2 linked regions of the Danio rerio genome follow. The protein of the gene in region 1 binds, or shares a complex with, the protein of each later gene. Links are inferred from orthologs where the notes say so. Each region holds a gene or a part of one and is shown on either strand. Other genes may lie near its edges. The genes, in order: flt4 and vegfc.

Region 1 (3,833 bases):
TGCCAGTCCTATTCCCAAAGCCACACACAGGAAATGACCTCACAGGTGTGACAGAAAACAGGACGAGAACGCTGTGTTAATGTGTGCTTATTCCTTCTCCATCCAGGAAGCAAGGACTAGGGGATAGGTTTAAATATTTCAGTGTAACATATTCGCCCCCACTTTTCTCACATTATATTTTCAGTTTCAGATATCCGGGGCACATAAAAACGCTCAGGGTTCAGGTTACGGACACAAAGTTTTTTTTATTCAGACATTTATGGGAAATCTTCAGGAAATAATAGTAATAATTCAAAAAGGAAGTGAAACCTTTTCTTTGCCGTCCACCATCTGAGTCAATGTGTCAATACTCTCAATAGGGTTTACAGCATGTTCAGGGTCCAAATCCATCCAGTTGTGACAGAAAGGACTCTGGTCTCGTCCACCCCTCCGTCTCCTGTGAACATATAAACACAAAATATGTGTGTCAGCACATAGATTCTATGAATATCACTCTCTAATGTGTGTGAGTGTTTGGGAGGGACATATCAGGATCCAGGATGCTCACACTGACAATTTCTACTCCAGGAACAGCTTTAGACTCTGCCTTCCTGTGTGTGATGAGAGCTAAGCAAGGTTTGACAAATGAAGGCCACACACATGTTTGTTAAGCTTTAAATCATCTATTCTAAACGAATCAGCACAATGGCTCTGTTACTAAACCCAGTCAGCTGTTTACCTATCAAATATTAAATAATCAAGAAATAAAGTTTTGTACACACAAATTACCTAATTGATAATCATTAAAGTTTTTAACTGTAAATGATTTTTTGCTGATTTCACAGTTGAACATCTGAAAATATATTCTTGCTGTATAAGCCATTTACAGTATGTTACTGTACTTATTGTTTTCACAGTATTGTTGAAGCACACTCAATAATGAAATATGTGTAACCCTGCCGGCCCTACATCACCCAACCCGCTTCGAGCTGGGATCGATCCAGGGACTCTTCGCATGGGAGTTAGTTGCACTAACAAGGAGGCTAAAGACCAAGAGAAGGCTAAAGAGGTCAGAGGAGAGAGGTTTATCTGCACAGCACAACACTAGCTGGCCTCCATTACATATGCATTATGGGAACCACCTGTTACTGTACATTTAAATGCACTCATACAAAATGACCAGAACACTTTGCTATGATGGATGGATAGGTAGGTAGATAGATAGATAGATAGATAGATAGATAGATAGATAGATAGATAGATAGATAGATAGATAGATAGATAGATAGATAGATAGATAGATAGATAGATAGATAGATAGATAGATATACAGATAGATAGATAGATAGATAGATAGATAGATAGATAGATAGATAGATAGATAGATAGATAGATAGATAGATAGATAGATAGATAGATAGATAGATAGATAGTTAGATAGATAGATAGATAGATAGATAGATAGATAGATAGATAGATAGATAGATAGATAGATAGATAGATAGATAGATAGATAGATAGATAGTTAGATAATAATGCCACCATTAAAAAGCCTCATGGTCAGCAGCACAGATCATTGGCCTGCTTTCTGTCAGCTTAGTAAAGTGTGCATCTGTGATATGTGAAAGGAACCCATGTTACTCAACTGCAGACTGATGCATATCCAGACAAAGCAAATGTTTTTTTGGGATGGGAAGAGGAAATATACCGCAAACTCAAGCTCTTTCTTGGCCGAAGCATTAAGTGTGTTCTAATATCATTCAGCGGATGTAGAAGTGGTACAATCAAACTGCTGAGTGTGAGATGTAAATTTCCCGCTGACACACAGCAAGATTCTAAGTCAGATGCTAAATGATTTATTTAACATGACAACTGACAAAACAAATTAAAGCCTCTGAGTTGGATAGTAAATTATTAAGGTTTGACTTCAGTACAGCAAAATACAGTAAACTGATTTATTAATAAAGTCTGAATGTGCTTTACTAAATCATTGGTTAAGCTATTGAAGTAAGCTGTTCATTGGTGTGAATGTAAATGTGCTCAATTGGGTAAAACAAGTATTAACATCAGTGTTGTTTTTAAATTATGAAGGAATTCAATGGCACTCGTTGCTTGAAAATAGGCTTTTTATAATCCTGCTCCGTGACTCAAAACATGAAACTATATACCTAACCTTTAAAAAAGTGTAACCTCTGGAGCAGTGCTAATATCTACACATTTCTACAACCTTGAAGTGGAACGCCTAGCCTGACTTCAAGAAATAATGAGTGCTGATAAATCTATAAAGCACTCCAGGTTGTGGTTTGAGCGTGCAGGAGTAATGTTGAAGCAGATGGGAATTGCGGTGCGCCTGTGGCTCTCTCTGGGCCTGTCTGAATGATTCAGCTGCCGCCCAAACTGCAGACCCTCCAAGCTAAACTCCACAAGCAATTCAAACCTCGTAGCAGATCCAAGACATCCTCTATCGGGGCCAGAGGATGCTTAAATGCCGCCTGTCTCCGTGTTTCCTGTTGTTTAGACGACAGGCCTCTGCCCTTCACACTGTGCTCTCTCCAAGCAGAACACTATAAATATCCTTAACGCCCTCCTAACCTCTCCACCTTCCCCAGCTGCCTTATCTCCAGCGAACACGGAAGAAAAGCTGCCACCGCACCGCTTGCTCAGACTTTACTGCAGAGAAAATAAACAACGCTTTTGAAAACACGGGAAAGAGCATCCCTGACCAGTAAGAGACTGCCAAAAGAGACAAAGTCTATCCACTCTGAACTCAACGTGAACTATGAGCACTGACATTCGACATTCAGTGGTGATTTTGAGGGCTTCGCAAGATCATCTAATACTCTCATTGATCCAGTGCTGACACTGGGAGCAGAATCCCATCACAATGTCGATATCCTTTGATTTGAGAGTTTTAGCCCAATTTATCCTCAATTTTCACATCCTTAGAATGTGATATAAAATCTTGTCGATGACCACGATCTGTGCATATCTGGTAATGTGAGCCATTTACAAGCCCAAATCATAAGTAGAATGCAAATAAAAAAGAAAGTAGTGATTTCTAAAATTACTTTGACTTGTATTTTATTGCAGACAATACAACAAACATTATTTAAAGTGTTCCTCATGATTTTATAGAGGTTTTTTTTTTTTCGTAAAATAAACTGGTATTTGGATTTTGGTTATTGCAACACATTTTTAAAAAAGTTGGGACAGGAGCAATTTAGGCTCTTAATTTAGGGCTACAGCTGTAATCAGGTAAATTGGTTAAAAAATGATGTGATTTAAAACATGTGATGTCAACAGCTGATTGTAATTATGATTTGGTACAATGGTAGCATCCAGGAAAGGTCTAGTCTTTTAGGAGCAAAGATGGACTGAGGATCACTATTCTGGCAATTTTCAAATCTTTCTCAAAGAAAGATAGGAAGACATTTGGATATGTCACCTTTAACAGTGCAAAATTAAAAGATTCAAGGAACCTGGTGGAATTTCAGTTTGCAAAGGACAAGGCCGCAAGCCTAAGCTGAACAACTGTGACCTCCGATTGCTCAGGCGGCACTGCATCAAGAATCGTCATTTATCTGTAAGCGATATCACCTCATAGGCTCAGGAGTACTTTGGCAAACCTTTGGCAAATACTGCAATATTTAGTTACATCCACAAATGCCAGTTAAATCTAGGGTTGGGTACCTTTGTAACCAGTATGTACTAGACCGAATCAGCATATGAATTTCAGTGCCTAATTTTGGTGCCACTGGTGCTGCGACAAGGACGTAAGAAGCAAGGGGTGCATCAAAGGCACACATAGGTACTGTACGTCACACCATCTCTAAACACTTCATTCTAAACAACTC
Region 2 (3,833 bases), on another chromosome or scaffold:
AGATTATTTATTATACCTTTCAGAATATTTACATTTTCTGCTCTGAATACAATGTGCCCACCGTTCACATGTGCCTGTCAGAGTGTGCCTCAATCTTTACCTCAGCTGCATCAGATAAACAGTACAGTGACAGACATGAAGGAAGCAGACCTCACGTAACATGTGTGAGAAATACTACAGTAGGAACTTTCCCAATGATTATTTGATGTATTTTTTTGTGGAGTTAATTCAAGCCTTTCTGCAATGATGAGTCACACACAATGTCATTGCAAAGTTCACAAACACACACACACACACAGACACACACACACACACACACACACACACACACACACACACACACACACACACACACACACACACACACACACACACACACACACAGTGCGCATTTAACTTTGAACTCTTTTTGCATGGCAAATGTGACAGGACACATTAATATCCACTGCTGTATGGATATACGTTATGCTAATGTACAAAATAAACCTGATTTAACATCCACAAACTGCAATTGAAGTGTCTTTTTTATAATTGTTATAAAAATTATAATTTTATAATTATAATTTTATAATTGTGCTGACGTGGCTGTTCTGATGAATAAATGCAATTTTATTGTCTTTATTATAAGCATGCACTCTTTTTAAACATGTTTTAAACTTGTAAATCTCATTCTTGATCAGATCTGATCTGATGATGATTGAAAATCACAGCAAGCTGAACAGATCTTTTAATCCCAGTTGCTTTGATATGATTATACTCGTTGCTATGGAGACATGTTAATATGAAACTGTCAATCAATTTGGTCGGTTGGGAATCCAGACTCCTACGTTAAGTTGCTGTGGGCCTCAAAATGGGAAGGATTTGTATCCTATTTTAACATTAGAAAATTTTTAAAAAGATTTTAGAAAAAAAAAGAAACTTATTGTCTTTATATCACCCCAATATGACAGTGGACACACTATACTGTACATACACACAGTTCTGTCCAAACAGCTTACAAAAGATGATTTTCACCATAGGATATTTTTTATCAGGAAGGAAAAAGCGCTCAGAATATATAGTGAAAATCTTAATAAAGCAACAAACCTTTAATATGATTGATGAGAAATGTCAACTGTACATTGAACTTTTCCATCAAGTTTTGAATAAAAATAGTTTTTATAATGTAGGTGCTTAAACAAGTAGTTTAACCAAATATTTGCATGTATATTTGCTTTTACCGTGTATTAACTAGATTATTAGGACATTAGCTTCTATGGTTTGGTCAAATAATCATAACTTAGGGTGTACTCACACTTTGTACACGATTGTCCCCCCTCCCGTCTTCCCCGATGGCCCGCACTCACATTACATTCGGGTCTGGGCACGCTTAGGAAACTAAGGATTTCTTCAGTTATATCACTTTAGTCATTTGATATGCAGTGACACGCAGTCAAATATTTCACCGAAGAGATCAGCCACTTTTGACGCTCATAAACAATCATAAAGTCCTCGTGTTGCAGGAATTAGGAGGTTTGCTCTAGGTCCAGCTGTGGTGCAGTGAGGGGTTTGCATCTTTAATTTACTACGACAGTTTTTGTGTTCATTGAACAGTAAGAATGAATAATAAATCCATATAAAACAGTCCCTTAAAAGTTACGTGTCGCTTTCAGTTTCAGGCTCAGGCTGGTTTTGCACTCACACACAAGCGTACCGCGCCAAAGTCCAAGTGAACCGCCTGAGCCAAATTCAGAGCACTTACACTTCTCAAACTATCAGAGAAATGGGCCTGGGCACGGTTCGAATAGCATAGTGTGAATGCGCCCTTAATTGAAATTTGCTTCTTTATCAGTTCTAAAACATCTTCCTGCCATTCAAAATGAAAAAACCAAGTAACCAACTAGTAAAACTTTGCCTTCAAATAGCTTTTATCCATGAAAATTCCATTATATATTTTTTTCTTTGCATGTACATGGCAGGCTAGATTTTGTAACAGAGCTAAAATGTGCGCAAGTTCTTATATCTTCATTCAAGATGTCACATTATGTCATACCAGACATAACCAGCATAATGTTACAAAAACGTGGTAAATAGTGTCAAAATTGAATATACAATCATCATTATCATTGTCTTTGCAACAATAAGGTGTTCCATTCGTGACTTGAAATAGATTTGAAACTCTAGCTTTAATATGTTCAGTATACCCATACACAAGTAATTGCAGTGCAATCAAATATTTCACCTGGAATAGACATGTGTTTTAGAATATAATGACATTCTGTTGAAACCTTCTAAGCGTTCAAAGCAACAGAAAAATGAAAATACTGTAGATGTAAAAGAAAAACACTTGTGTGTTTGAACACTTACTCTGTTAGGGCCCTTCGTATGATTGAGTGCTGCTGTCGGTACAAATTTTGTTTTGACAAACAGCTGCAGGAAGTGTGGTTGGCGAAGCTTATGGTGACCGGTTTGGTCCCTTGCTTGACTGGAACTGTGATTTCAAACAACTGCGGGATGAAAATAGAAGAAAGGTCATATTTTCAGTGAAATCAGACTAATGCAGACTATCTGACGTAAATGTGAAATCGTAGGAAAGGTTACTTAATCTTTAAGGAGTGTGCTGGATGTCAAAATGAAATGTGGTCTGTCAATTATATCTGAATCGAGATTAATGAAAAGATTTATGTTTAAATGAGTTGTGCAACTGCGAGATTACACAGAGTTTCTCTGAAATCTTTGAGTGTTCAAACAACCACAACTAGAGTATGATCAAACAGACTGGTAAGGGGAAATGGGTAATGGGGAACTTGTGCTAGATAATTTGCAAGGCAGGCAAATACTGTTACACCAATAAATCACAACTTCCTCCAGCTATAGGGAAACATTCCTAAGAATGTATGTTGAATGAGCAATTAGAAGTAGTGGTAATGAGAATATGTAGCTAAAATATAGCACATACAGTTGAAGTCAGAATTAATAGCCCCCTGAATTATTAGCCCCCCCGTTTATTTTTCCCCCAATTTCTGTTCAACGGAGAAAAGATTTTTTAAAACACATTTTTAATCATAACAGTTTTAAAAACTCATTTCTAATAACTGATTTATTTTATCTTTGCCATGATGACAGTAAATAATATTTTACAAAAGATTTTTCAAGACACTTCTATTAATGCTTAAAATGACATTTAAAGGCTTAACCAGGTTAACTAGGTTAATTAGACAAAGTAGGGTAGTTAGGCAAGTTATTGTATAATGATGGTTTGTTCTGTAGACTATCGAAAAAAAAATATATAGCTTAAAGGGGTTAATAATTTTGACTTTAAAATGGTGTTTAAAAAATTAAAAGCAAAAAAAAAAATCTATTGTTCAAACTTTGAAAAAAAAAGCATAAACATAAATACACAATAAAAGCATCATACATCTGGTCCATATGACTTGTTTTGTATTCACAATTTTCTGATGCCACAAAATAGCTTTAAATGAGAAAAAGATTGACATTCACTCATTAACATTCTTAAAATTTAACTTTTAGAAAACTTTTATGGTTTCTTTCTTTTTGAAGGCTTTAGATGATAACTGTTATGGCACAGAAATGAATGTGGAAAGAAAGTCATAGAGACCTGGAACAACAAAAACTTAATCATAGATGACATAAATTTCACAGTTGGTCTTTTATGGTCTAGTCTACTCATCAAACTCTTATATTTACTGTTCTTTTTGGGACGAATAACGGTTGCAAAAGAAATCTGGATAATTCATAAACCAAAGCAGCAAATTCTTATAGCAGGACAAACAAACAAACTAGCTTCCAAAATTTCTGGAATGTTAAGCTTCCCGCTTTCAGCTCCTGTTAGA

What was found.
Region 2: the proteins of flt4 (region 1) and vegfc are in contact, whole or in part, in a crystal structure (PDB 4BSK), measured with the Homo sapiens proteins. The link is inferred for Danio rerio from reciprocal best matches to the Homo sapiens genes FLT4 and VEGFC. Residues at the interface, in NP_891555.2 of Homo sapiens: Gln172, His199, Asp200, Ala201, Leu202, Tyr203; in NP_005420.1 of Homo sapiens: Leu119, Asp123, Trp126, Gln130, Asn167, Arg210.

The regions. Positions count from the first base shown.
Region 1 is NC_133189.1:18,154,678-18,158,510, forward strand, and holds part of flt4 (vascular endothelial growth factor receptor 3 precursor), read right to left. Parts: intron 437-3,833; coding exon 310-436; intron 1-309. UniProt on the Homo sapiens protein: Tyrosine-protein kinase that acts as a cell-surface receptor for VEGFC and VEGFD, and plays an essential role in adult lymphangiogenesis and in the development of the vascular network and the cardiovascular system during embryonic development.
Region 2 is NC_133176.1:41,980,962-41,984,794, forward strand, and holds part of vegfc (vascular endothelial growth factor C precursor), read right to left. Parts: intron 2,487-3,833; coding exon 2,347-2,486; intron 1-2,346. UniProt on the Homo sapiens protein: Growth factor active in angiogenesis, and endothelial cell growth, stimulating their proliferation and migration and also has effects on the permeability of blood vessels.